4 linked regions of the Struthio camelus genome follow. The protein of the gene in region 2 purifies or fractionates together with the protein of the main gene of each other region. This does not show direct contact. Links are inferred from orthologs where the notes say so. Each region holds a gene or a part of one and is shown on either strand. Other genes may lie near its edges.

What was found.
Region 1: the proteins of SMAD3 (region 2) and FOXO3 purify together in Homo sapiens (affinity purification with western blotting; 3 studies listed by BioGRID and IntAct, with this or other methods). This does not show direct contact. The link is inferred for Struthio camelus from reciprocal best matches to the Homo sapiens genes SMAD3 and FOXO3.
Region 3: the proteins of SMAD3 (region 2) and KAT2B purify together in Homo sapiens (affinity purification with western blotting, with the first as the bait; 3 studies listed by BioGRID). This does not show direct contact. The link is inferred for Struthio camelus from reciprocal best matches to the Homo sapiens genes SMAD3 and KAT2B.
Region 4: the proteins of SMAD3 (region 2) and SKIL purify together in Homo sapiens (affinity purification with western blotting; 6 studies listed by BioGRID). This does not show direct contact. The link is inferred for Struthio camelus from reciprocal best matches to the Homo sapiens genes SMAD3 and SKIL.

What each region holds. Positions count from the first base shown.
Region 1 is NC_090944.1:59,590,503-59,598,507, reverse strand, and holds the start of FOXO3 (forkhead box protein O3), read right to left. Parts: upstream 3,001-8,005; 5' UTR 2,872-3,000; coding exon 2,257-2,871; intron 1-2,256. UniProt on the Homo sapiens protein: Transcriptional activator that recognizes and binds to the DNA sequence 5'-[AG]TAAA[TC]A-3' and regulates different processes, such as apoptosis and autophagy.
Region 2 is NC_090953.1:2,692,039-2,698,958, forward strand, and holds the start of SMAD3 (mothers against decapentaplegic homolog 3), read right to left. Parts: upstream 3,017-6,920; 5' UTR 2,719-3,016; coding exon 2,513-2,718; intron 1-2,512. UniProt on the Homo sapiens protein: Receptor-regulated SMAD (R-SMAD) that is an intracellular signal transducer and transcriptional modulator activated by TGF-beta (transforming growth factor) and activin type 1 receptor kinases.
Region 3 is NC_090943.1:42,676,253-42,683,712, forward strand, and holds the start of KAT2B (histone acetyltransferase KAT2B), read left to right. Parts: upstream 1-4,442; coding exon 4,443-4,664; intron 4,665-7,460. UniProt on the Homo sapiens protein: Functions as a histone acetyltransferase (HAT) to promote transcriptional activation. Has significant histone acetyltransferase activity with core histones (H3 and H4), and also with nucleosome core particles.
Region 4 is NC_090950.1:27,918,421-27,925,592, forward strand, and holds the start of SKIL (ski-like protein), read right to left. Parts: upstream 3,001-7,172; 5' UTR 2,821-3,000; intron 2,565-2,820; exon of another isoform or gene 2,512-2,564; intron 2,020-2,511; 5' UTR 1,167-2,019; coding exon 60-1,166; intron 1-59. UniProt on the Homo sapiens protein: May have regulatory role in cell division or differentiation in response to extracellular signals.

The sequences.
Region 1 (8,005 bases), on a different chromosome or scaffold from region 2:
TTACCTGTGATGATAATAACATATAATGTGTTTTAGCATGGGGAAACTAAGATGGAGTCTCAAAATCTAACTTGTGTCCCAGCCAAGAAACTGAAATATTCCTCTTCTGAATGCACGTGCATACATTAAAAGAAACTCCAGCCCTGCCAGGAATTAAATCCTTCAGTTTTGGATGCCTGGCAAATTATTAGCTCCTGACCTCTCCTTTGCCCCCTTCAGCGTGCCCCCACCACCCACGCACAAATACACACTCCCTTAACATGGTTAAACATGTTACCATAACTTTCAAAGACAGCTCACAGTCATTAAAAGCAGGAGGAATGTTCTGTTTCCAGTGCGCTTGCATACTCTGATAAAGGTCATCCTAAAGGCTTGTGAGAAACTTCTGAACTAAATTATATCAGAGAAGTCTCAAGGGATCCAAGTTTTTAGCATTTTAATTAGCTCCAAGTACCGGTTAATGCTGCTCCGAAAAGGAATCAATATCAAATTAACAGTATAAATTGTCAGAAAAAATTGTGACCGTATTAAGCATACTAATCAATGTAAGCACTTTGCGTTATGGCCCATATCCTGCTTCTGCCCAGGCGAATGGGAGTTGTGCCACCCAACGGAGCTGAAACAGTACCAGTGCTTTTGCTTCAGAAGCCTGTCTTCTGCTGGGAGCTATAATTTACCGAAAACTCGAGGCAGCAGATGAGAAGGCTACATTTCTCGTAACAGCTGACAATGTAAAGCCACTGCTCGTGCACCTAGTACCAAACAACCTGCCAAGGCAAGGGCTGTCAGCGTAGGATTTAACCCTTTATCACAGTCCGTGTCGTCCGTGTCGCACTTGTGAAGTCGCGTCAAAATTCAACATTTAATACAGACGCAAAAGCTTTAAAGCAGATCCGTGCTTTCAAGAGCCCGGTCTCGAATTAGTGACGCCGCTGGTAAACTTTCTGTTTATATCTTCGCCAGCCTGAGACAAATAGCAGGGAACCGCTGCCTCTGTAATGCTCCCTTTGGGAGGGAAAAGCCATACGTCTGCACTTCAATTCCTAACAGCAAGCCCTGTTCAGAAACCAAAAGACGAGACAGAGTTGCTAATACGAAAACACCCAGAAATTTTTCCTCCCTACAATGTTTCTGACTGATTCATACACGTTTATCCCCCGACGCAAAGAGAGAGAGATGCAAGGGGGGATTTAATTTCTCCATAACGCCATAAAACTTCCCCGCAAATTCGCCTTCAGTCAGTCACCCTTTCAGAAACTCAGTCTAGGATGCCACTAACACGGGCCCTCGGCGGCCACTGAACCGTGCCAGGATTTCCCTCCGCAAACAGCATCTGCCTCAAGCAGCACCTACGTTGCCGTGTAGCTGCACGCCAGTGACATTCCAGCGTCCTAATGAAGAGACGCTCACAACCGGGGGGGGGCAGTTCCGTAAATCCCTTCAGACGGGCTTTCCGCGCAGCACCAGCTCCTCCTGCTAGGCCTTAACACACTGTGAGCTTGCAAAGCAAAAAACCCTGACCGCTCACAACGTGCTTTTTGCACGCACTAAGTAAACAAGCCCCCAAACCCGATTTTTTTTCCCCCCTCCCCTGCCAAGTGTCACAGCGCCGAGCAGAAAACGCTCGGATATACGGGATCCAGCGGGGCCGACGCTCTCGCGTGCACCGACGCCGCAGGAAAACGCAACGCAAGCGCTCCCGCGCCCCAGCAGCCCCTAACTCCGACGTTTCATTAACTTCATAAAGAAACGGCAACATCCACTTTTTCCTCCGTTGCCTTTCGGGAACACGTGGGGGATCACAGGGGTTTTTTCTTGGAGGAAAATAAGTCTTTCTCTACTTGAGCTTTGAGACTAGGACCGGTACGGCATGAAAGCAACTCTGCCCGTTTCTATGACGAGTGACACGAAAGGTGCCTATAACTTAAAAGGGGCCATTACAAGCATCTCTCTTTTTTCTCTTTTTTTTCCCCCCGCCTCCTTTTCTCCCCTGCTGATTCCCTTGGGCACCAGAGCAGCCTGCTCCACGCAGGCATTTCAGCCTCTCCCCCACCACCGGGGTCAGCCCTCACCGCTTGCACGCAGCAACAGGAAAGCGCCTAAACTTTCTTTCCCCCCTCCTTCCCCCTTTAAAAAAAAAAAAAGAAATCCAAAAATAAATCGGGGAAAGGTGACAACGCAGCCACCGGCCGCCGCCAGGAAAACCCGCGGCCCGGCCGCATCCCCGCGGGCCCCCTCGGGGCCGCCCCGTCTCACCTTCCAGCCGGCCGAGCTGTTGCTGTCGCCCTTGTCCTTGAAGTAGGGCACGCAGCGGACCATCCAGTCGTAGATCTGCGAGAGGGTGAGCCGCTTCTCCGGGGAGCTCTCGATGGCGCGGGTGATGAGGTCGGCGTAGGAGAGGTTGCCCCACGCGTTGCGCCGCGACGAGCACTTCCTCGGCGCCGCCGCCGCCGCCGGGCCGCCGCTCAGCCCCCCGCCGCCGCCCGCCGCCCCCCCGGGCGAGAGGCTCGGCCCCTCGGGGCCGCCGGCGGGCAGCGGGGCCAGCAGCCGCGCCGCCTCCTCGGGCACGGCCGAAGCCGTGGCCGCCGCCGCCGCCGCTGCCGCCGCGGCAGCCGCCGCCTCGCCGCCTCCGGGGGCCGCGCTGCCGACGGCCATGGCCGAGCCGCCCCCCTCGTCGTCGTCGTCCTCCTCCTCGGGGATCATGGAGGCGGCGTCGGCGGGCGGCTCGCCGGCGGGCTTGGCCGGGCTGGCCTGCAGCTCGGGCCTCTGCAGCGGCCAGGTGCAGGAGCGGGGCCGGCTCTGGGGCTCGAACTCGGGGTCCAGCTCCACGTCGAGGGGCGAGAGCGGGCCCGGGGGCGACGCCTCTGCCATGTCGGCCTCTCCGGAGGCGGCTGGGGCGCTGCGACGGGGCGGGCGGCCGCCTGCTCGGAGCCGCCGGGAGCCTAGCAGGCGCGGGGCCGGCGGGCGGGCATGCCGCTCTCCGCTAAGGGCCGGCCGCCGCCGCCGCCGCGCTGCGCCGCGTAGCGCCGCGCAGCCCGGGCTCCCGCTCCCCGCGGGCGGGGCGCCCGCCGGAGGGCGTGGGGGAAGGCCCAAAAAAAAAAAAAAAACCGGAATAAAAAGCCGGAGCGGCGGCGCCGAGCGGGCAGCGCGGGGTCGGGCGGCGCCCGCTGCGCTGCCCTCCGCGCTGGGGGAGCGCGGCGCGACCACCGCCGCTGCCGCTCCCGCGGTGCGTGTGTTTGTTTATGTTTCACTCCATGCAGAGGCACAAGTAGCTCCAGCGGCAACCGCGGCTGTATCCAGCCGGGAGAGCACCCCCCGCCCCGGCACCTCCGAGCTCTCTCCTTGTCGCTTCCGCAGATATCTTCCTTTGGGTTTTGTCTTTTTTTTTTTTTTCTGGTGTTCCTTTTCCACCCTCCCTCGGCAGGAGGTGGGGGGGAGAGGGGTCCTTCAGATTACACCGAAGACTTTTTCCTTCTGCAAAACGCCCTAAAGGGAGCCGAAGTCTTAGCAGGCATCCAGTTGCATACTAGCATAAGCCTGTCACTTTGCCGTATCCCCCAAGCCACACACAAGCAACCCCCCAAAATCTCAAAGCCGACGGAACGAGGGGGTGGGGGGAGAAAGGAGGGAAAGCAACCTTGGGGGTTGGTCGGCTTAAAAACAAAACAAAAAAAATCCTTCTTCTCGCAGGGAAAAAGCAAACACAACACGAGCAAATCAAATCACCAGTCTTCCAACAGGTCCAGAAGCTTTAAGCCCTCCCTAGGGCTGCCAAAGAGAATAGGTTTTGTTCCAGCATCAACACCACATTCATAACCTCCTTGCTCCTGCTGCTGCCATCTTGACAGTTTTTCCCCCCCTTCACACAAGTCATTTAAAAAGCACGGGCAGGAGAGGCAGCGAGAGCCGCGCCGGGAGGGGGAGGAGGCCGGGGGAAGGATCAACAGCCACCTCCAACGCCGGCAGAAAGCGCGATCCACATTCACGGGAGGAAAAGGCAGCGCTGCTGCTGCTGCTATTGCTATTGCCGCTGCCGCTGCTGCATGGTTCCTGCTGCTCCTGCGCCTTCAGCTCCGCCGAGCCTTCCCTTTAAAGGCGAAGGAGGCGAGCGCAGCCCGCCGCCAGCCGCCTCGGCCAGCCGCCGCGCACAGGCCAGCCCGCCGCCGCCGCCGCCGAGCAGCCGCGCTGCCGCCGCAGCCCGCCCCAGCCGCCTGGCGCCCCGCTCGCCGCCGACCTCCACATCCCTCCTCCTAACAACCACCGGCAGCAACACAAAGTTATAGACACACGCAGCCAGCCTCAACCTAACCGCACGGCACGGCACGGCCCGCCCACAAGGCCGAGGGGGCCGGGCCGGGCCGGGCCAGGCGGAGGCGGCGGCGGCGGGCAGGGCTGGCCGGGGCCGCCCCGACGGGGCGGGCTGGCCGCGCAGACCACGGCTCCGCCGGCCGCCCGCCGCTGCCCGGAGCCTGGTGGGACTGCTGGAAACGAGCGGGGAAAACACGCACCCGCTTGCCTGTCCTCTCCCCCGCCCCGACCCGCTGCTGTGCTCCCCGTCAGCCCCCGACCTCGGTTTCCTCAGCCGGTGTGAGCGGAGGGCCCACGGAGGGAGGAGAGCGCGCCGGGCTGCCCCGGCACATGGCTACAGAAAGTAATAAAAATCGAACAGTAACGCTGTATCTAGGGTTACCCTAGTCCGTCCTCTCTGCACTCACCCGAATTTAAGCAATGAATAATTTCAAACCTAATAAGCTGAATAATTTCACTTTTCCTTACTTTCTGTTTTTGTTGGATTCACCTGACTAGCCAGTAGCACTAGTAACACAACTGCAGCTATTGCTTTTTTTGTTTTACTATAAAAACAGCTTTGGCTGACAGTCACAGCGGAGGAATGTTGCCCTGTTTCTTTTCTAAATTGTTTTTCATTGGTCGTAAACCTTTGTAAAAGTTGTGTTGGTGAACTTTAAATTTGGAGTCAAACTGAATCTAGCCATTTTTCAAAAAAAAACTTCTCTTTGGCCTGTTGAGTGACAGAGGAGCATGTTCAGGCATGTACACACAACTATAATCCTCCTGTACTTCCTCCTTAGAGTACGTGCTGTAACAGAAAGCCTCCAAAGTAGCTCAGATGAAGATGTAGTTAATTATGGGTTGGATAAAGGGGTGACCCACAAAGCCAAAGAAGATAGAGCTGTTAATATAGATGCAGTTATAAATACCTTATGAAGCAATGTCAAGGTATCAGTTCTTGCCCCACTTTGTATTGACCCAAACAAACTATGGATTAGATTTAGTACAAAAATAGTGTTGTCTCAGATACCAGACAGAGTCAACTGCATGTGTTGAGAAGTAGGTGTGCTTCTAAAGCATTTCTGGATAGAATTAGCTCAGCAGACAAATTAAATTATCCCTGATTTATTTAGCATTATAGATGAGCAATGAGATTTGAAAGTCATTCGGTTTGATTAGAAAACAGTAAGGCCCTGATCCTGCATGCCTTACACGTCCTGCTAAATAAGGACTAAGGCCCTCAGGATCTAGTTAAGTTTCAAATTCAAGTGGCACTCATTAGGAATAGTTCAGCATGATTTTATTACAAGGGACAGGATTTCAGCATGCATACGATTAATCCTCAGTTATCTAAATAGGGAAGGTTCACCGAATTAATCAGAATAAATGCAGGTTCAGGTAATGGAAGCAATTTTCATTACAACTAACACATTCCAGTGCATGACCCCACTTTAGGTCACGACGGTGTGTGTCGTGCCATGGCTTTTGTCATACCATGGCCCCTTATGAAACCGGAAAGGGGTTTCGGTCTCTCAGAAAGACATCAGCTACAGTGCAGTTGTGATACTGGCATTTATCTGTACTATTTAGCAATCGGTAGGGTAGTGGTACTGCAGCAGCATTGAAGACTCATGAGCCATCACGAGACAAGGCTGCTCATGATGAGAAGATGCTCAACCCTTTCCCAAAACCTTCAAACGCTTGGGGCAGATTTTCACCAGTGCAAAAACCTCCTTGGTTTCTTTAGGTCCTGAGGTCCCAGGGAAGTGTAGCACTTTGACCCTGAGCTGGATTACAAAATGAAAATCTAGCTCTAAATTATGTTATCATCTTCATTTATTTATTTAATTGGCATTGCATTACAGTATAGGCATTGCTGTTAGGTCTCATTGTACTAGGTGAAGGCCGTGAAATGCCCCACTCCCTGGCAGAATTGCAGTGCAAGTAAGACAGGCACAGGGCGGGAGAAGGGAAATAAGTATGTACTAACCCTATTAAAAGGATGATGGACTGAGGCACTGGGAGATTACGTGACTGTGCTGAGGTCATACAGGAAGCCTGTGTCAGAAATGAGAAAGAAAACTAGATCTCCTGAGTGCCAGCCCCGGGCCTTTACTACAAGATTATCTTCCTTTTTCAAAATTCACTGGTATATCAGCTGTACGGGCTTTATCAAAAAAGTTAGAGCACCAGCTCTTCATAGCTCCACACAGCATTTCCTGCCTGTGATATTGCAGTTTAGAGGCAGAATTAAAACCACAGTTCAGTTGTTCTTACACATTTTACTTAGCCAAATTCGTGCGAGAAAAATAGACAGATGAACCCTTCTGATCACTGTTCCATGACCGGGCTGACCGAAATAAATAGGAAAACTCAAACTAAAACCTGCATGATTTCCAGTCTCTTCCTTTAAGTACTTCAATGCCCCAAGGGTGGGATTTTCAAAAAGGCTCAGTTTATGGGAGTTTTATCGCTGACTTCAACAGGAATAAAGTTAGGCTAGCCCTGAGGCCATTTGAAAGCCTCACTCCTTTATTGTGCCTACTTAGACTGCGAGCTTTTCAGGGCGGTACTGCGTCTTCTGCAACTCTTTTAATCCCTACTCACGTTTATGTTATGAACATGTGTACCCATCACGATGGATCATGTAGCCACCTTCTTACGCAGAAGGTTATGGGGCTACCAGCTTCTTGGATGGAAGACAGAGGTCAGTGGCTTATAATATGGATCTGGTGGGGTCACAGCTCCTTTGCAGCTCTGAGTCATGCCCGTGGGTGAGCTTGGCTGCTCGTGGACTGTTCAAGCCCCACGAAATGTGAGGCCTATTGCCTACTGCTTGGGGGAAAGTAATGTTCATATGACACCATGTGAACTCTGAGTGGGAATCTGCATAAGTGATTTTTTTGTTGAGCTAAACTCTTTTAAGCTTTATGCTCGACTACAGAAGGCTATTGCTGGCTCAGTTTTCATTCTGATTCTTCCATTTTGTTGATTCAGAGAGTCAGCTTTTCCTAAGATAATAGTGTACCTAGCTTATAGCAGTAACCCAGATAAAATCACTCCTTCATGCTCCAATAACCTACACTCTCACTGGGCTGGTAGCTGGAGAAGTGCAGGACACACTTCTGGCTTTACATCTCTTATACAAATACCCTATTGCAGAACCGTAGGTGTGCAGCTGAAGGCAGAGTCGAAGTTGCACTGGGGGCGGAGGACCTGAAGCTTTCCCTGATCGTTTGAGAAATCTGTTGTAAAGTATACTGCTGTTCGCTAAGACAACGTTATATTGCAGCTACTTTAAACAATGGCCGCATTGTCTACATTGACTTCACACAAAGAGTGTATAGCAGGTTGTTCTGTCAGCCACCTGGAGCCTGGTCTCCAACGGGTTTGTGTCCACTGCAATAACCCTGTCTACTCCTCCCATATATCCCACCAGATAGCTGCTCCCCCTCTGTATTTCTTGTTCTTCCCAGAGTTCCTTACTACCTCCTTTCAACACAGACTGGGCAAAGGGCAGCAGGTTTTGTGGCTGATTCAAAGCAACCTGTGTGCTGATTAGTAAGAAATGTCATCTATAAGCCAGCCAACTTCATGCTTTGAGACTTTAACCTTTCCGATCAATTTGGGTAAAACTGGCTAATGGGTTTCAGAGTTATTAAGGGGACTGACTGGCAGATGGACACAGAGCAAGAGTCCAAATTGTGCCATGGAG
Region 2 (6,920 bases):
ATAGGTTCTTCAAACAGAAAACCTGGGACCTGAACGTCTGTTGGTCACATCATCTTACAAACTGAGCACTCGGAAAGTAACACACTTAACCCTACTTGGTCACTAGAGGAATTTGAAGTTTCAGCTCATCTGCTGTGAAGCCCTTATTCCCAAGGGCAACATTTCTGAAAAGCTTAAGCACTTTTACATCTCAAACCTTGCCTCATCTCATGGGTACAACGGCTAATTTTGTACTAACCCTGCTCCTGCTGGGCCAGAGTCATCCCTGGCATAGCTCCACTGTAATTTAGTCTACTGATGTATTACAGACAATGCACAACACGATCTTATCCGTAACGATGGTTTTTCCCTTTTGTCCCCTCAATGTACTTAAATTTGCCTAAATAACACAGCAACGCATGCAGAATTATTTTAAAAGAAAATACCAAAGCCATACTAAAATTGTCTTGCAAACACTAATTTCAAGTGACATGATAATCAGTCACAGAAGCGTTAGGACAAACAGCGCAGTCCAGTGGAGAAGACATTGCACTTAAAAGTCACAAGGCCTGGTTACAATTACAGCTCTGCCATTGGCTTCAAGACCAGCTGTTTCACATTTCCACTCCCTTCCCCAATCTCAGATATCTAGACATTAACCTAATACTATGCTGCTGCAGACGGTCCAGCACAGGGTAACCTAACTACTGTTTTAAGGATCTCTGCAATATCTATATAAAATAACAGTAAAAGTGCATAGGAAGCGTCATGTTTAAAGACTAGTACCAAGGCACAAGGAACTACCGTCAAAACATGCTGACAGTAGTGAGCATATGAATCCTTGGTCCCCAGTACCAAGGATTAAGACCTGAAGGATCAGACTCTGTGTCATAAGTGAACATGAAATGTTTTAGTTTTTGTACTGTTTCCCTTTAACAGAGCAAAATTTGGGAGAAACCAGCATTCTCTTCTGCACAGTAGACAATAGCCAGAGTAATCTCTGGAGGTGATAATATTTATAACTTGTGACATCTGCTTGTGGTGTTACTTATTTTCCAGCTTTAAAATTATTTCTCTAAATTAAAGCTTCCTACTCCACCCGTCTTTTTGCTCCAAATGCCTTCCTTAAGCTAAAACACCTTGTTCCTAGTAAAGCAAACGTCGGGGAGCCTCACACTCTGCTTCCTAACAGGTCAGCATCAGCAACTCTCCACGGAAACCTGAAGCACAATAATATACAAGTCACTTCAACCGTAGGACTCCTCAAGTAAATTTTTTCTTATGAAAAGGCAAATATTTCAGGGAAGTGGTTTACACAGGGCATTTTCTATGAGGAAAGTACCCTGCTTACCAAGAATTTCAAAATAGAGGTTTAAGGGCATTTGTACCAGGTGGCAGCTTTGTAGGTTTTGATCTCTGCTTCAACTACGAGGAGCCAGAGTAACTCTAACAAAGGCAGAGTCCTCAATCCGGATTACTGGCAGAAATCTTAGGCATGATCGCTCAGGACCGAAAAGATGAGGAGGCTTTACTTTTTCTTTAAAACTCTAGTTGCTGGAAAAAATGTTAGGAGTTCCAAATATCCACGTTTCTGAGCTACTTGCTTCACTTTTTCATGCAACAGATGCTGCTTTGTATTAGCTACTGCATATTAAATCATTCTGACAACCAAGAAAGCATACATTTGTTTGGGCGAGAGAGAGGCATGAATACACATACTCACAGAGATATCTTCTCACACAGAAGCATACAATTATGCAGGATTCAAATATTTGGGCTGAACTTTGGCCTTTGTTAAAAACACCCCCCCCCCCAAAACAACGACAAGTAACAGACTCAGCAGTCATCTGGCTCAGCTCACAGAAATCGACAGACCTGCAGCAAAAAAAAGCACTGCTTGGGGCCAGCTATTTGAAAGTTACTTGAACATTTTTTCTTAGATGCTATGTATATCATAAGGAAGGATGCATATTATGGATTGATTTCGGGATCAAGGCTAAAAATAAAAATCTATGTTAAAACAAAAATTAAAAAAAAAAATCAACTTGTTACATCCATCCTTACATAATTTTTTTTTTTTGCAGTGCAAGTAATCCCCTTCAGCTATGCCATTTGCTCTCGCGATTTAAAAAGCAATGTGAAAACAAACGCGCAGCAGGGCTCTAAATCACATCTGCAGCGCAGTAGCTGGCCAGCTCGCAGGAATAAGGCGAGCAACCCAAATAAAACCATTTTCCTGACCAAAACCAAAACACACGCGCAAACACACACACACACACAGAGGCAAAACTCGGCGCAGCGCTGCCGCAGAACACGCTGCAACTTTTGACCACGAGAGCACCCAGGGTACGCGCGAGGGCAGCCCAGAGCGCTGCCAACTTTGGGGTTTGGGGTTTTTTTTCCCTCCTCCCCCCACTTCCCCTCTTCCAGACTCGGCTGGAGACATTTTCTCCCCTGCCGGGGGCAGCCGCTCCCCAACGGCCCCCGAGCCGCCGCCGGGCCGCGCCCCGGGGCCGCCGCCGCCGCCACCGACCTGGGGATGGTGATGCACTTGGTGTTGATGTTCTGCGTGGTGATCGCCTTCTCCAGCTCGTCCAGCTGCCCCGTCTTCTTCAGCTTCTTCACCAGGCTCTTCACCGCCTTCTCGCACCATTTCTCCTCCTGCCCGTTCTGCTCCCCTTTCTTCCAGCCCAGCAACCGCTTGACGATGGGAGGGGTGAACGGCAGGATGGAGGACATGCTGGCTTGCCCGGCCCGGCCCGACCCGACCCGGCCCGGCCGCTGCCTCCACACGAAACCCGGCGGCTCCGCGCCGCCCCGCGGGCACCACGAGGCCTGGCCCGGCCCGGCCCGGCGCGGCGCGGCGCTGCCTCAGCGCCTCGGGCCCTCGGCACCAAACTTTGCCCGGAGTTCGCCGCGTTTCCCCGGCGGCGGCGGCGGCGGCTCCCTCCTCCCCCTGCTGCCCCGCTCTGCGTGCGCGCGGAGGCGCCCGCTCCAGCTCATTCCCAGTCTGCCTTTCATGCAAATTGCCTGCTGGCCGCCCCAGCCCGGCTTCCACCCCCTCCTTCCCTCCCAAACACGCTCCCTCACGCCGCCGGCGGAGGGCGGGCGGGCGGCCGGCAACTCCGCTCCCGCTCTCCCTCCCCGCCGCCGCCGCCGCCCCCCCCGGCGGCAGCCGCAGCGCCGCACGCGCTGCCGGGGGCGCCCGCCGCCGCGCTCCTCTTTCTTTTCCTTCTTTTCCTTCTCTTTCTTCCCGCGCGGGAAGGGCGGAGGCGCGGGGGGGGGGGGGAAGCTCTGCCCCCTCAGCGCCGGCGCCCCCCTCAGCGGCTGCGCGCTCGCGGCCTTCCCGCGCCCGGCGAGGCGGGAAGCTCCCGTCAGGGCCGCCGCCTCCCCTCAGCCCGCGGCGGCCGCTTCCCCTCCCCGCACCCGGCCCCCTAACCCTGACCCTCGTCTCCCCCCACGCGGGAGGGACGAACAAACACGAGTGACAAAGCGCTGCCGGGCCAGGGGAAGGGACAGAGTGCCCTCGGGCCGGCGGGGATGGGTAAGGCCCCCGGCGGACCCCGACGGCTGTTTTTCTCTGTGAAAAAAGGTGTGTTTTCACATGGAGATGGCTGATCCTCGCTTGGTCAAAGCAGCCAGGCGGAGACGACGATCTGCAGTTTTTTTGTTTCAACCTATTTAATTTACTGTTCCATTCCCTCATCCTCCCACCTCGAGGGCCCGGTACCCGATTAATTTTTGCCCTGTATCAGGCACAAATTACGCTCCGGAGCTGTTTACTACCAGCCCTGGTCAGAAAGTCTCAGACGGAACATTTTTGTCAGAGAATGGCAGCTTGTTCAGATGGCCCTGTTTTGTAGAGATGGTTCAGCCTTGACTAAGGCAGGACGGGATCCAGGTAACTTTCCAGTTCCTCGCTTGTCATCGCTGGACAAAGTGGGCTTTCACGCTGCCCCACCTCTACCATCCTCCCCTTCACGCCGAAAGGCCCTAAAGACCATAAAAATACCAACCATAGTTCCTAAAGCGCTCCAACCCTTGGATATACCACCCTGGCGCGGCGTGAGCAGGGTGCACGGGCAGCCCGGCGAGGAGCAAGGGGCTCGGAGGCCACCTGCAGAGTCACCGCTGCCTCCTTCCTTTAGGCGCCTCAGCCCCAGCTGCTTCACAGCCGTCCGGGAATCAGAGAGTAAAAAGTTTTGGGAGGCCCCAGCTCCCAAGTTTTGACATTTGAAGCTGAGGCAGGCTTCCCAGCTTCCTCGAGCCTCCGCAGCCTCCCAGACGAGCTGACGGTGAACCTGAGGTTGGGAAGCCTCCGGGGCTGCTCACCCGCTCCCAGACGTGCAGGTTCTTGCCAATCCGCATTCCCCTGCTCCCAGTTCCAGCGCGGCCCAGTGGGGAGACTCCTCGAAAGCCGGCGATCCAAACGCTTTTCCATGCCTGTGGATTTGAAACAGCCAGCCGTACAAATCGCCTTGCGGCAAGTTATGAACCTATAGGTTCAGACAGTGTCTGAAGCTCAGAGGCAACTGGCTTGGCTTTTGCAGCGATTTAAACAAATAGTACTTTTTATTCCATACTGACAACACCAAAATTTGAAGTAGCAATATTGGGCACAAAATAAAATAACCTTTCCCCCCCCCCCCCCTCTTTTTAAAACATTTTCTTACTATTCCCCAACATGCATTCCCCGAGTGTCTTGAATTTTGGAGGCTCACCACTAAAATTTTGGAACGCTGCCCTGACCCAGTTTTTGGCTGCCTAAATTGAGATGCCTGAAGTACAGTGATGCTGAGCCCCTGTAGATGATCCCAATTTCATTTGAGGAAACAGTTGCTCAGCACCTCTAAAACCAACACAAAAATTCTCAGCAACTAATTATGCTAAAACCAAAATGCCCAAATTACTGATTGCTACTTAGTGTCATTGACTTGCTGCATATTTGTTTTCTGGAAGGGCCTGGTTCCTGATAGCAAATGGTTTGGAGAATAACAATATTTGGAGAATAACCTGAGTATGTGAACAAAGTGAAACACAGAAGTTAAATACATTTTTTTTGTATATAAATAAATACAACTATAATTTTAAGTGTGGGGAAGTTTAAAGTCATCTTTTTCTATTTTCCTGGTTCTTGGCCCAGCACATTTTGCAACATAAAGAAGCCCCAGGGCAAGACTATGCGTGAAGAAACAGTCTTAGAGCTGTCAACACTGCATCAGGGTAATAACAGTGCGGATTTCTGTTGGGGACCATATCCATTTCTTTGTCACTGTTCATGCTAGAAAAGCATGGGGACTGTTCCATACTGTTTTTCAGCCAGAAAAATGAAAGTACTCAAATCTCACCTCTAAACTCAGAATTCATGCTGTAATCTTAGTTCAGCAAGGCTTCCAGGATTTTCTGTACACATTCATTGGCTAAAATTCACTCCATTACTATAGTCATATCACAGGTGATCAGCTGGGTAAATTTGAATAAGGGGAAGAGGAGGAAGAGCTGCGAGATTTGCTCGCGCTTATATAGCGAGTTAGTGGCAAAGGGGTAAATAGATTTACCTGTTTAGCCAAATGCTAAAACAAAATGGGTCTCACTTGCTTACAGTATCACAAGTAAGGAGGAGGCCAGCTAAATCACCCATCTGCCTTCTGGGCCGCAGCACCACTGAGAACACTAGAACTGAAAATGAATAAACATTTGGTCTCAAGACGTAGAATTAATTTCCAAGCTCAAGGTCATTACAATTTACAGAACAATTTGTATGACTGCTGCTGGGGTTACCTGTCAGAATGAACCATTCTGTGAAAATATGCCTTTCTGAACCCATAGACAGTAATCCTTTATTTCAGAGAGTTTTGGACACTCTCATAATGGAAAAATTAACAGACAGGAAAAAGACAGGACCGTCCCAATTTTACATGGTCTGGATCCGTTCTCTGGTTTACAAAATGTCTGATGTCTTGGAAGCCACCTCTAGGCAGGATAAGGTTATGTGTTCATTAGTGATATAAATTTTTCTTTACTTTGCAACAATCATTATCTTTGCATGTTTGTTACATAGTACAGGTTTAGGGACTTCACTCATTGCATTTTGCTCGTACTGAAAAGTAAAGATGTATAATCTGCAAAAACACAAGCCCTCCATAGTTCATCTATTTGAGATTACTTGAAGAAAACAACCGTATGCTTTGTGGCTCTCTTGCATTTCTTAACCTTTTACTACTACGTGAACATCTTGACAGTGATTGAAAAATAATCTTTATATACCTTGTTCATTCACAGGACCCATCAGTGAATGGGAACAGAATTTAAACTTTACTTTCAAGACGACAAAAATTGGGTTTTGATTCAGAAACGATATAAAATGAGCATAAGAAGCAAGAAGGTGTCCTCTGGGGCTCTCACACACGCGTATCTACCTTTATTAGAAATACTCTTAACAGCTTCTGAGATTGAAGGATAGGTTCTGTGCTTCACTCCACATTCACTTTATACCACTCGAGGAGTGAGAAGAGAATAAGGGAGTTTGAAGCAGGCACGAGGCAGTTCCACTAGCTCGCACGCTGCTCTCCCTGAAACCTCTTTTGCAGGGGCATGTTGGAACAGGCAGGCTGGAGGAAGCGTGACCAGAACAAACTGTATTCTGGCTATGCTCAGAGACGGTTCTTCGGGGAGCCTGTTGCCTGCTGAAACAGCTCCCGGGCTGTTTTAACATGTAATTGTGGCTAGTTTGAAAATCAGGGAGTGGTTGTGAACCAGCTTTTAATGTACTGCCATCTCTCTTTTACTCAGCTACTGAAATATTAAGTATAATTTCCTATATGGGCATTATCTACTTGTGGAAGGGAATTTTACTGTGTGACTGAAGAGGACAACTGAGAAGCAGGTGGACAACCTGTAAAATTTGCAACAGATAGGGATTTACCAGAGCAGCTAAGAGG
Region 3 (7,460 bases), on a different chromosome or scaffold from region 2:
GTTTGTTTACACAATGACATTTTCTTCATTTTTTTCCCTCTGCTTTTGACTTACAAAAACTGGGTAATTGGGTTGTGAGGTTCCCTATGACAGTCAAAGGCTTAGTGGTAAGGTCTGCAATCCACATTATTAATTTCACATGTAAACTCTGTGGGAAGCTGACAAGATGCTAGAGAGTATAATGAACAAAACTTTTGTGCTGTTAATACTTCCAGTGATTCATAAAATATTGATAGCCTGAATGTGTAGTGGCCTCAAGGGAGGCCACTTAACCCACAAGGAATGTGCTAACGAAAGAATACAATAGGATTTTATACTTATAAATTCCCTGGAGGAGGGGGAAGCACTCTGCTTTTCACAATTGCATTGAAAGGCAAGGACAAAACCAGGTGGGAGCACGGGAGGAAAGTCTTGTCGTGAACAAAAGGAGAGTGAGACCAGTGGTTCATCACACTCGCTCCAAATAGGCCTGGGGTTGGGGGCGAGGGGGACAGATGCATCCCCAGCTGCACAGCTGGCTGCGAGGGCCCTCCCGGAGAGACAGCGTTCAGCATTAGGCAGCTATTAGTTGAATTATTATTCAACTTATGTGGCTGAGATCGGTCCCAAAAACCTCAAATGACAACTAAATAATACCTGGGTGTCAGGCACACCCTAAACCACATTTTAATTTCCTCTTTTGTAACTCGAGATGCCTCTTTTGTAACTGGATATCAAGAATACAGCCATCTGCTTTGCTGGAATAACTTGCATGCTTTTACGTTTAAGCTTGTCTAGAGTTCAGAGTGAATTTGGGCACTAAATGTGCTGTCCCCTGGAAGCACCAAAACCGAACATGAATCTCCTCAGGGCTATCAGCAGCTTGAGACAGGCCTGAGAGTCACAAGACCTGGAACATGTGTCTCATCCAGCTCCAGGCTTGCTTAAATTAACGTATATGAGTAGTCTTCCTGAAGTGGTGGGGCTACTTACCTGAGTTTGCAAGCTAAGTAGCACAATTAGGAAGTAGGCAGCTGTACTTAGCTCCTTCAATGGCTTGCTAAAAGCCAGTTTCAGAATAAGCTGGACTTGTGCAAGCCCATTGACGTGCCCTGAAGGACAGAAACTAAAAAATGTGGCAAGGTTTTTCAGATAATGCTTTGAGTTTAATTTTAATTTAATATTCTCATATTGAATATTTAATGGTGAAAATAAGCACTGGAGTGATTCTGTGCTCAGACTGAGTCATAAATTATAATTGAAATACTTTCAAAATTAGTCAACAGATAAAGTCAGCTTAGATATGAAACTCAGAATGACATGTAGAGTCATATGTCAAAACAGATTTTTTTTTCTGCTTCCCTAATAGAGTGTAATTTGTCATAGCCAAATTATATTCACCAAAGCCATCACTTGTGAACATGGCCCAAGTTATACCCCAGTGTTTCCAGCAACCAAACTATCTTTTCCTTCCTTATTCTTGCCAAAATATTGAACGTAACATTTTAGCTGTCACTGGAACAGTTTAAGGCAAGGTCATGTTAAGCTTTTTTTTTTTTTAAAACTTAATATTTTAGAACAAATGATAACAATAGATTTAAATGAGACTTACAGTTTAAAAAACCAAAAAGGCAAGCTTACCTAACAGCAGTTAAAGAGTGATTTCTTGTTAAGTTGTTCCTTTTTGCAATAGTAGGCAGTTGTTCTGCGTTTGTAGTGAAATCGGTGTTTATAAATGTTACTATAGTAACTGTATCCTTAGCCACAGGCTGGTAGATTTATTGTTCTGATTATCTAGTGAGCAGCAAGGTAAAAAGGAAAAAAAAAAAAAAAAAAGACTGTCAGACATGTTGTAAGAGAGCCACAATCTCACAGGAGGAGATGGCAAAAACTGCAGTAAAAATATTTTTCCCTTCATACTTACCTGCATCCTACTGTATGCCATGCAACAGCCTTTTTTCCACTAGACCCTCATAAACAAACAATGAAATGCAAGCAGAGATCCAAAGTACCAGGCATGTAACAAAAGTCAGTATCAGCTTCATAATGACTTTCATCCTTATTTTATTTCAGTGGAAGTAACAATTTCTCAGGCTTTTAGGACCTCGAAAAACAAGGTGAAAGAATCAGGCTGAAAGAAGGTTTTCTGCCTAGGCCGAGGTCCTGTGAACACTTGCACTCGTAGTTTCATACATAAACACACACTGGGCGGTCGTAAGTGGCGCTGGAACTAGGTGTGCAAAAACAGTAAATGTATTTTAAGAATTGAAATGTATAATTTGTTTCTGTGTGGATGCAAAGTTGATACTGGATTAGATAACATTAGTTTATCATTTAGAGGAGAAGCTAAAACATTTGCCAGCTTTGATGGTTTTCTTTTTTTTTTATTTAAAAAAGATGTTAGGAGACTGCCCGTCAAGGCCATAGCTCCCAGCAAAGCTGGAAGACAATGGCCAGCCATGTTAAGTGGCACACGGAGAGGAATTTGTTGTTACAGATGGGACTATTCACTTCACTTGCAACTGTAGCAGAGCAGTGGGAAAGCTGAAAGCGAAACCAAGCCATTTCATTGCCAAGTCTGGGAGGAAAGTGGAAGAGCGATTGTCATAAAGAAATGCAAGCAAATACATTTAGAAAGTTATTCTGATGACCTCAGGTGGATGTTATCATGCAGCATAATATTTGTTATCCTCAAATATTAGTTGAACACTCTCAAAGGAAAAAAAAATAAAGGTATAATTTAAGAGTGAGGGGTTTTTTTTATTATTATTCGCTCCGAAGGCAGGGTCTGACGTGCCGTCGGCGGCTTCCCACCGCCCCTCCGGGAAGCCGGGCGGGCAGTGCCTCCTCCACCTTAACGGTCTGTCTTAAAACACTGCGGATGGCAGCAGCCATCTTAAGGGTCACTGTCACCCCCCCCGCCCCCGCGAGCCACATCCCTGCTCGGGGATCCCTCCCCGGCGCCGGCCGCGGCGGGGGAGCCCCCCGGCAGCGCCGCCGCTGCCCGCTCCGCGCCGCTCCGCCCGAGGGCGGCCCAGAGGCTTTGCGGCACTTCCCAGGGCGCGGGGGGAGGCGCGCAGGGCTCCGCGCAGGGCTCCGGCCCTCGGGAGCGCGGCACCGACCAGCTCGGACCCGCCTCCCCGCTCGTCACCTTTTGTTCCTTTTAAAACCTCAGCCCCCCCCCCCCCCCCAAAAAAAAGCCCACCCCTCCTCCTCCTTTGCAAATAAAAACGTTGAAACCTTTCAATCTGAAAGGGAACTGGATGCGTCCTTCTGATTTTTTTCGCACTGAATGAAGATGTCAGCTCACCGTTGAGTCTCAGTGGTTGAAAATATCCAGGGAGAAAACGGGGCTGAGGGAAGGGGAGATCAGAGGGAAAATGCGTCCTCAGTCCTCCCCCTGCTCTTTACTCCCCACCTTGCAGAAGCCTCTCATCCTTTGCGCTTGTGTAAGCCAGCAAGGCCCTGCGTTGCTGCGAGAGCTCTTTCATGCACTGGGATTCCCCTCAACGTTAATATTACTGCTTCTGGTTCACACATCAAAGCCCTGTAAAACACACACAAGCGCGGGCAGCCTTAGCTCCAACCTTTTAAACCGTGGTACTGCGTTAGCGAATTGTCATTTGTGGTTTCTCACCGTTCAACCGCGTTTTTACATATGTGCAGCAGGACATAACTTCCTCAGAACTGAAAGGCTTATTTCCAGGCACAGAGTGCAGTTGCTGTGGCAGAATCATTTACTTAATTTGAGCTTCCAATTAAAAGGTAGCTACTTAAAGACATAGGTTGACCTGCTGTTAACACCTGTTCCTGGACAAACAAGAAGCCGCGACGTGACTCCCCCCCGGAACTGAGCAGAGTCTTTATAGTCTCACATCTTTAAAGCCAAGGAGTATTTTTATGTTCTTTGACTTCGAAATAATCTTTAAAAGCAAACAAATAAGAAACCGGAACGGTTTAAAAACAGCTGAGAACTGCAGGGTGTGGAAACGCAATAGTTAAGTCGACAAACTAGTGGCACCGTGAGGGGAAAAACGGGGCTTTTAAAGGACTTGAAGCCAAGGGGGGCCGAAGAGTGCGGCTTCTTCCGCGCCTCTCGGCGGCCCCTTTCCTCCTCCGGTTCCCGGCCGCGCAAGGCCCGCACCGGCGGGGTCCCCCGCGCGCAGCCGAAGCCGCCGCCGCCTTACGCGGGGGCGCACGGCCGCCGCCCGCCCATGCCGGCGCGCGCGCTCCCCCGCGGCTCGGCGCTGCGCTGCAGGGCGGGAGGCGGGGGCCGGCTCCGCGCTCCCCCCGCCCGGCGGGGCAGGAGCCGCCCGCGGAGCGGCCAGTCCCCTCCCTCCCCGGGGGGAGCAGCCGGCGGCGGCGGCGAAGGGGAGGGTCTAGCGCTCGGCGCACCGCGCCGGCAGAGCCGCACGGGCGGGCGGCTCCCGCCGCGCCGCGCCGCTCCGCGCCGCTCCGCGGGGATGGCGGAGCCTAGCGGCGCCGGGGCCGCGGCGGCGGGCGGTGGCGGGCCGCAGCAGGGCTCGCCGGCCGCCGGCGGGGTGGCCGCCGGGGGGCCGGCCCGCACCGCCGCCGAGAGCCCCGGGGGCCCCGGCTCGGCGCGCACCGCCGGCAAAAAGGCGCAGCTGCGCGCCGCTCCGCGGGCCAAGAAGCTGGAGAAGCTGGGCGTCTACTCCGCTTGCAAGGTACGGCGCCGGCCGCTGGCGCCCACCCGCCCACGGAGGGTGGGGATTGAGCCGGCTGGGGAGGGAAGGGAGGGCGGCAGGCGGTGGGGAAGGGCCGGGCGGGGGAGGCGGCGGCGGCCCAGCTGCAGCTCCGCGCTGCCGGGAACCGCGGAAGTGGTGAGGCTGGTGGTTCCTCCTCCGCCCGCAGCCTTCCAGCTAGGAGCGGCAAGAATAAGCCCGAAAGACGCCGAAAACAAGCCCTCGCGTGCAGCACCTCCCTCCTCCTCCTCCTCCTCCTCCCCCTGCCCCTGTCGATACGGGCAGTAGCGGACGTGCCCGTCCCGCTGCCTCCGCCCCAGCCCGGCCCCCGCCGGGGTCGCTCGCACTTGCACCGCTGGGTTGACGGCGCCGCGGCAGCTGCTCGCCGCGTAAACACCGCGCGGGGCCGTTGCGCCCCCTCGCCCCGGGGGAGGGGGAGGCGCGGGGCTGGGCCGGCCTCGCGTCCCGGCGGGGGCTGCCGCCATCCAAATGTCGCTGCTCCGAGCTGGCAGCGTCGCCAGCAGCTCTGGCAGAGGAGCAACGAGGCGCGGCCTCTCCTCTTGGGAAAGTTGTCCCCACTGGTCACGTCGGTGCGGGCACGGAGGCCTCTGTCGTCTCCCGCACTGGGCAGGCCTTCTCCGCTCACCTTAGTGACACTGCCCTGGGTTTCCCTCCCTGCATCTTTCCCTCTGCCTGGAATTTTCTTCCGGAGGGGAGAAGCAGGACTTGACTGTTGTTGGAGATTGAGAGAGCCTGGTCAGAGTTGCAGCCTTGCAGTCTTTGGAGGTCTGTGACCTCCAAACTGGTGTTGTCACCTGTGCACGTGCGGCTGGACTGCACTGCACACGGTGCAGGGCCAGTGCCCTCTAAGCATGGGCTGTCACCTGCGTTACTGCTTTCGTGACTATTCTTGGATGCGTGATGAGTCTGACACGTTCAGGATGGCAGTAGTGTCATGAAATCTTCTAGTAATGCTTTTGGCATAGCAAATAAGTGAGCAGTTTGTGAGAAAGTGTATTATTTACTTTCTTTGCTCCTTTACATCAGAACCCTCAGAAGGGCAAATGTTAAGTGAAAGGCCAACCTAAATGCTTAAATACGTGAGGAAGCGTTATAATATGGCTCTGTAGTCCTGTCTGGTGATGGGAAGTGCTTTAACTGTACTCTGAAAGCATGTTGCAATACTGTAAGTCATGTGAGGTCAAGTCAAGGAAACCACGCACACACTTCAATTTCTTAGCTGTTTACAAACATGCAGGAATCTCCTCTCGGGCTTTGGCATGTATGTGTGACGTTGCAAGAGACCACCACTGTTGGGAACTTAACAGAGCAGTTAGTGTGTTTGAAACCTGAGGTCCCCATAGAAGGATGGGTGACATGGTTCAAAACTTTCTGGTAGTGATTCCCCTCTGCCCCCCCCGGTATTTTAATGTTACCAAATTTTGCTATGCTGTTAAACAATGTTAGACAGGGAGGATGTGAGGTTTTCATGAGCTGTTGAGTGGTGTGTGTGTGTGTTTATGATTCTACCTTTTCCTTCCCTAGTCTGATCTTTTTTCTTTCCTTTATGGATCTCCAGGGGTGGGCACAGAGCTGTGGCAGCTTGTGTTGCAGGTGCTGTGTGTGTGTGGTAGTGTTACCAGCCTTCAGCTCCTGTCCTTCTGCGAGAAGTCAGGGCCGTGTCACTGCTGGCACTGCAGTGAGCTGAGAGTGCGCGACCTGTGGCTAGGGACACCCTGGAGCCTCTTTGTCCTTCCCTGCCAGGAGCCTGGCACAACCACAGAACTAAACACTACCCTGGGTTCAGATTAAAATGCAAAAGCAACCTTTGCTACCTCGCTTTTCTTCAGTAATTTAATAGCAGGCAGCGTTCTTTCAGGTTGCAAAACATAAGCAAGTAGACAAACAGGAAGCTTCTTGTAAACTAATCAAGCGGTTTTTCCTATGGGATAAAGGGGGAAGGATGGAGGAGAGCGGAAGAATGTGTTATTTTTCCTTTTGAACAACTGGCAGGTGCTCCACAACTACAGTACTTGGCTTGTAACGTTAGTGGTTTGCAAGAAGCTGTAGCAGTGCAGGGAATAACTTTGAACTTTCTTACTTTGGGCTGAAACTGATTCTATTTATTTTGTGCGTTTCTGTTTGTGTGTGAGAGAGAGACAGAAATCAAACACTCGCACCGCCTCCAATCTCAAAATAATGTAACTTATGTGTTTATTCAAGGGGCAGCCATGCGTGAGTCTTGTGTAAATATACAAAGAGCTGTTCAGGTTGCAGTGGAGAAACTATGCAGTGCCATCCTTAATGGTGGTGTCCTTCTCCCGCGGGAAACAGGAGAGGAAAACGCTGCTGCTTCAGCACATAAAGTTTAGTAGAAACTTAACCTCTGAGACGCTGAGAGGAGCAGAGGCAGAGAGCGTGTTCGTTAGGGCTGAAGAGAAGCAGCGCCAGGAGATGGGAAGAGGGCTGACACTGAGCGGCAGGTGGCTGGGCCTCGCTGGTGGCAGCAGCAATGTGCTGGGCCAGAGATAAGACTGTCCCGAGCAGGACCGCCGTGTGAGCGGGCTGCTCTGGCCCCAGGAGGGAACGAGCCCCCTTGTCACTCTAGCGATCCCTCTGCTTCAGCCTTTGGGAAGTGCAGGCAAAAACTGCAGGCAGAGACATCCTCGATGTGCATATAAACTCAGCAGAGCTAGACTGAGCATTTTGGAATAAGTTTAGGGAGCTGCTGCCCCAGCCTAGGACTATGGAAGAGTTTTGTTGTCATTGTTTTGGGAT
Region 4 (7,172 bases), on a different chromosome or scaffold from region 2:
TTCTAAGCTAAATATTTACTTGTTATCGGAAGGAAATTTACAAGAGTAAGTGAACTTACTTTGGACCGAGTTCTTTTCTGATTTTTCTCACTAAATTTCTCCTTCATTTCCTCCAAGAGATGCTTCAGTTCCCTCTCCTCCGATGTTCCTAAGTATTTTTGGTTAATATGAAGGTAGCAATGCCATTTGGCTGATTCAAAGCCCCAGTGACAGGTCCTTTTATCAGGGGATCTATGTGAATGCATCACAAACGTCTGGGGCGAAAACATTCCATAGCACTCCAAACACTGGATACAGGGATCATCCGGCTGCAGGTAGAACTGAGGTGCAAACAAACCCTGGCATTTGCCCAAGCACTCATGCTCTACTTCAAAGGCACTGCCAGACTCTTTCAACTGGGCCAATGTGCTCTTCGCAGGGAGAAAGCTGCCATTTTGAGGAAAAGTGCGAGGACGTAATAAAGCATTGCATAGTCTCTGAGCGTCAGTCAGCGTAATTAGCCCACAGGATGGAGCATTAAATGGAAGAATTCCCAAAACCTTCAGAATGTGAAGCTGGTCGGACGTGCACCTTGAGCAATATATATACAGCTCGTCACACACTGTATTAATCTGTTGCAATGAAAAGTCTCGGAGAACTGAATTCAAAACTTGCGGCAGGCAAAGTCTCTTTTCTCCTCCAACTTTAAAACAAGAAATAGATTCCCCCTCCAATATAGTCTGAGTGAGTTCTGTAGAGCTGTCTGGAGGAATGAGCAGTGGACCAGAAAGTATTTGCGGTGATGGAAGAGGCAAGAAGACAGTGGGTGACATACTTTCCTGGGAATAACGAGCTGAAAAAGCTGCTGGCCCTCCCAGTGAACTCTGGCTGCTTAAGTGGAACTGTGCCAGCGTGTGTTTCAAACCTGGATTTAAATTCAAAGGCTCAGATATTGAAGCACTGTTTGGCTTGGCGTTTTCCCCATCAGCCTCCACAGGAGTTTCATCATAGTCATCCAAGTTTTCCTTCTTTATTGTTGGCAGTCTATTTATTACAACTCGTACTTTGCTATTTACATGCATTTCTGTCATTACTTTTTTTATTGGAGGACTCTCATCCTCGTGGACCCCACTCCTTTTTTGGTCTGAACCTAGACCGAGATGGAAGTTTGTTTGCGGGCTTTCCATTGCTAAACGCTAGAACTTTTAAGCAAGCAAATCTAGAGTGTGCATTTTCCTGCTTGCTAATACAAAAATCAATTTTAAATGATCTTGACTACTTCACACACGCCAAGCTTTGCACTCCTTTCAGTAAGTTAATCCTTCAGCCTCCAGGAGCAAAAAACTGTAGCCCCTTTTGCATGTAATACCACAGAATTAAGAATGGAGAGGGTAAACAACATTTTCTTTTAGGTTTAAAAGTATTTGTCCAATTTTCTTTTATACAAAACACATTGCAATATGCATATACAACGATTTTCTTTGTAGCCTACTCAGTAGTTTGCACAGTAGTTTCGTATAGTCTTTCAGTAAAAAATGATGAGTTGATGCAAGAGCATCCATCCTCGGTCACTTTTTTCCCCTTTAAAAAGCATACTGGCTTTTCAAACAAGCCTCTTGTTTAAATACCAAAACAGAAAAATGCCCACAAGTCTCAGTCTGAAGAGCGTCGAACTCAGTGTAACTGATCCAAATAAAGTTTGGTTGTGTGAAAATTTTATTCGCCGCTTCTCCTTCAGTTGTCAGGGATCAAACACAAGCTTAAGGCCTTTATTTATTGGGCAGCCAAGTTTACGATTCCACCGCCACCACCACCACTAGAGTTACTATGGCAGTTCACCAATAAATCCCCAAATTAAAGGCTGATCCAGATTGCTGGCAAAAACTAAACGTCCCTAGAGAGTCACCTTTAGCACAGACGTCCCCGGTGTGTGCCTGGCTTTTCCCACCCCGAGTTATTAGCAATACAAATAAGATCCGGGCCATCAGCTAAATGCACATCTTGTGCTAATACACAGCTCTGTCAACCTCTCCTGATAACCTGTGAAAAGAGAGAGAGAGGTCATTAATAACCATTAATTCCCGAGACTAGAGTCTTCAAATACGAGCTCAACATATCAAACAAGGGACACGCTTCCTAATTAATTACAAAACATCAACGCACAGAGAGCTTTCGTTTAAAAACCAGAAGCCCCATCATAAGCCCCTGGCAGATGGGCGAAGCTGGCAGCGGCACCAGCCCAGCGCCCGCACAGCGCTGCGTGTAACGTGCGGCAAATCCCACAGGCGGGAGCGCGGCGAAGCGGAGAAGAGGAGAGGGAGGACGAGGTTTCTCTTTCACAGGGTGTGTGTGGGGGGGGGGGGGAACACTCGGGGGAGAAACGCCAACGCGGGCGGGCTACGAGCCCCCTCCCGCCGGGGCCGGGGGCCGGGGCCCCCCCTGCCGCCGCCGCCGCCGCCGCCGCCGCCGCCGCCGCCTCCCCCCCCTTCCCGGAAGGGCCCGGGCCGCCGCGCCCGCCGCTCCGTGACTCACCGGCGCTTCCCCGGCGCCGGCCGGCCCCGCGCCCGGCTCTCCCCTCGCCGCCGGCCTCAGCGCCCCGCGGCTGCCCGCTCCGCTCCGCCAGCTGCGGCTCCTCCCGCCGCCGCCCTCTCCGCGCCCGCCGCCCCCTCCGGCGCTAAATTTACCCCCCCCACCCCCGCGGGAGGAGCGGCTTCCCCCGCGCGGCGCCCCCACAGACGCCGCCTCCCCTCAGGCACGGCGCGCCCCTCCCCCGCCGACTCGGCCCCGGCCCCCGCCGCCGGGCCGAGCCCCCTCCCCCCCGGTGACTCCCCGGCTCCTCACCCGGCACCGCGGGGGCCCCGGCGCCCCACGAGCGGAACAGGAGCCGCGTTCGCGCCGCCCACCCGTGACCTCACTGCGGAGACGGAGACGGCGGCGGAGACGGCGGAGACGGCGGCGGCGGCGCGCGGGCACGAACCCGCCGGCGGCGCGCGCCGCCCCCGCCCCCGCCCCCCGCCGGCCTCAGCCGCCGCCGCCGCCGCCGCAGCCCCGCCCACTGTCTGGGGCCGCGGCGGGAGCGGGCGCCCCTCCCCCTCCCCCCCCCGCCTCACGCGCGCGCCAGCCGCTCCCTCAGACAACCCCGGGCGGCCCCTCCCCCCGCCCGCGCGGAGCCGCCGCCGCCGCCCTCACACAGCCCGCGCCGCGCCGCGCCGCGCCGGGGAGGGAGGGGAAACCTTCCTCCAGCCCTCGGAGAGCCGCGCCAGGGGAAGCCCTCCCCGCCCTGCCGAGGCCTCCCAGCCCGGCGCCGCCGCCGGCTCGGGCGGTTGGCGCGGCGCCGCGGGCTGCCCTCACACGCCCTGTCGCCGCGCAAAGCGGGAGGAGGAGGAGGAGGAGGAGGAGGAGGAGGAGGAGGAGGAGCGGCGCTGCCCGCCCGGCGGCTCGGCTCGCCCCGCCGCGGCTGCCCCGTCTCGGCCGTTTCCTGACGGCTCCCCGGGGCTGGTGGCGGCGGGGCCGGGGCTCGCCCCGGGTGCGCGGGCGGCGGCGCCATGTCAGGGCGGGCGGCGGGGACAGGGGAAAAAACGAGGGCGCAAACGGCGGGGAAAACGCGAGGCGCCTTAAAAAAAAAAAAAAATCCCACCTCTGCGGAACAGGAGGGCGGACAGGGCAGCAGGGAAACGCGATGGTGCCCGCCGGGGCTGCCCGCAGCGCCGCGGGCTCCTCACGAGGCACCGGGGCCTTCAGAAGAACGGCTGAAACGTGGGGGAGCGGGTCAAAAGATGGTTTTGGAGCCCCAGTCAGCCGGAAGCTGTGCGGTCACGGCCAAGAGGGGTTGACGTATGGAGCGTCTCCCACTTCGGTCCTGTCGCTGGCAGGGGAAGAAGCTGCTTTCCAGAGCCCGCTTAATCTCTGTACAGCTCGCGTACGGGGGACGGGTTTCTGCCGTACACAGCTGTTGTTACATGTTCCTTGTAAAGACATTTTGCCGCTTCAGCTGAAGGGCAAAATCCAGTTTGCCGTTGCCTTTAATCCTTATTTTGATGCAAAGGGAACGTAAAAAAAAAAGAAAAAAAAACATTAAAATGGCACAACTGCACAGCCGCTGCTGCAAGGTGTTTAACAGGACGAGGAGCGGGACCGGCCCAGCGCTGCCCGGCCGCGTTCGGGTTCAAGCTGAAGGCTAACAGCAAACAAAACCCCTCTTCTTGCTGAAGAGCATATTTAGCTTGATACACTTCAACTCTTGACTTTGGTTAGAGGTCCTCCGTGCAGGCATGGTTCACCCCTGTAAAGCTGCTTCTCGAATCACCTTTCAACTCTTAAAATACCAGGTCACTTGTGCTACCCACAACGTTTTCTTCTAATGACAATTGGCAACATATAATTTTTTTTAGATTTCTAAAAAAAAAAACAACCTCTCTAAATTACATAGCGCTTAATGTGTTTGCGCATAAGCAATTTGTGACTTTTCTCTTGTCAGCCCCGTGATCGGAGGTGTTATTTTATTTCCAAGCTTTGCCCTTGATGTTACTCTTCAGTGGTCACACATCTGTAGGCAGAAACCATCTTCCCATATGTTTGCACAGCAGCTAATGCAGTCATTAGGACGCGTGGTGCTTTATATTGCAAAAATAATAAATTGCTGACAGTTTAAACAGCAGAAGAGGGTTTAGAATAACTGTATAAACAGCTGCGTCTGGGCTTTTAACAATAACTCTGTGATCACAAAGACGATAATGGTTATAGTTATTTGCTAAAGCCTAGAGAAAACCACTTGACCTTTCTATTATTAAAGAATTCAGGTAGAGATGAAAGAATCAAAAATCCGAAATAGAGCACGACCTCAATTTTTACATTCGGCAGAAGGTGTCATCACAAGGATCGTTGTTTTACTGTTGCTGTTATTGTGGCACCCTCAGGCAGAAGTAAGGCTTTCCTACCAATGAAGAGGTACCACAAAGAAGCCTGAAGCATGTTGAAGCATGTGAACGTCCCAATTACTTGAAATTAAGAGCACTTTCTCAGCTCTTTGAAATAGACACACTTCACAGACACTTCGATGCCTATAGAAAAACGTAACTTGTCTTTTCATAGACTACAGAGAGAGCAGAGAAGGAAAAGGAAGGCATAAATTCCTGCCACTCCATATAGGCCAAAGTAAAGATGAAAGCTTTCCAAAAATTGGAACCAAGATTTAAACTTTGGGAAGAACACAAGTATTGGAGAAACTCATTGTTTGTCCCTTCAGTACTCCGCTTTTTGCCCTTTTCCATCCTCCTTGTGTTTCTCTGCTTTTATTATAAGCCACTAAAGATCGACTCAGCCATTCCTCAGGGAGCATTTAACATATTAACTACTACCATTATGGGGAGTACATTTTTCCTTACTTTAATTTACCCTACTATTTTCTAGCTCTTTTTGCCAGACTTCATCTCTGTAACTCCTCTATAGCAGCGGAATCTCAGCTGAAATCTGTACATATAAGAGCATGAGCAGAGGCTCATGCATGACTGAGTTTTATGGGCCGAAAGATAACCGAGACTGATGCCTCTGTACTGTCCAACCACTTGAGATTCACTGCAAATAGGATTCGTGTACTTAATTTTAAGTAAGTTTCACGGATCCAGGACCATAAACCTATTCTTGGTTCATCTTTGCACCTGAGTGAGTTTGATCTAATCCAGCAACACCCTGTGGTTAATAAACACACATCATGCCACCTCAATATGCAGTTTTATATCTAGTCTTTTTTACTTTTCAAAGTAGGGAAGTGTTAGAATTCATTTAAACATGGTTATAACATTGTGCAGTAATTTGCAGTACCCTGGTACTTCTCTAATGCTCTTCTCTAGCCTGCAGCAAAACAGAATTACGTAGGACTCTGCAAGTCTTGTCTCACCTTTTGGCTGCTATGTCAAACACAAGCTTTTGCAGCCTTAGAAAGAAAAAAGTTTTAAAAAGAGGAGGATTTTTTCATGTAATGATTCTGTGGAAGGATTTTATGAAGACTGGTATTTTTCTCCATTTATAGTTAAGCAAACAGTGCAAGATGCAGAGCAGCTGCAGGAGTACAATTGCTACCCTTACATGAAAACGAGAACTGCTTTTTTACAGGGCAAGAAGGGTGTGTATTACTGAGACGGAGGGAAAGTGATGGAGAAAATGCAAGAGTGCATTTATGTTTGATCTCAATTGCCTTTATTCTTTATTCTTCCACAGTAAAATGTCTGAGGCTAGGACAGCAAATAATTTTATGGAAAAGTACACCCATTCCGGAAGAGTACTAATACTCTGTACTTACTTATTAAGTAGATACGGGGCTTAATAGCCACAACATTTTAGTAGAATTAAAAAGGCTTCTGAATCTACCAGTTTGGGGGGCTGATCTTGAAAAACACTGACCAGTGATTCTATTATCTAAACATTCTGGACATTCCTATCTCTTTTCTACCCTGTAAGAGTCTAGGATTTGATCAAAAATTTCTCTCCAAATAGCCAACCATTGAAATGCACTGTGTCATATTTCAATTGTATATAACTCAAGAGCATGGAAGATTCATAGCATCGTACCTGCAATGATCGGAGGACATAAGCAAGACAACATTTGTAGGTGGATATTACACCTGCTGAGGGCACGTAAGCTTAGGAATTAGGTGTCATTGTTTAATTTGGGTTTAAAAATTCTGCACATTTTTCATTTCAAGCTGCAAATTTTGGTAACTACTGTGGTGAAACAGAAGTGTTGTTACAGCGCTACATCATCAGGCAGCATAAGACAACGTTCGTAGGTAGAAGATAGTCTACTAAACCGTGAACTCTACCTAGAGCCTTGACTGTCGACTATGAAAAGCACTTTGGTACCAGAGGTACGACGTAACTAAACTAAAATCTTACCTACAGATCTTTTTAGCACTGAAGAAATCGCACTAACAGAGCCTGGGAGGGATTTTACTTTTATTACTAACCTCTCTGGATTTTCAAGAGGTGCTCAAGTTTTTTGGAATCTTATTAAATTAACATTTAAGGTTGTCTTAAAATGTAACTCACATTTAGCACTTTCAGCTGCTTTGTTTAAACACCTTAGCTTTAAAACCAGTGCAACCCACACAGAATTTGTCTTTACTCTTCTAGGTCAGCTCCCAGAGAGAGTTATTTTAAAAGATAAAAACATCCTATTTTTACTTGACAACTAAGAA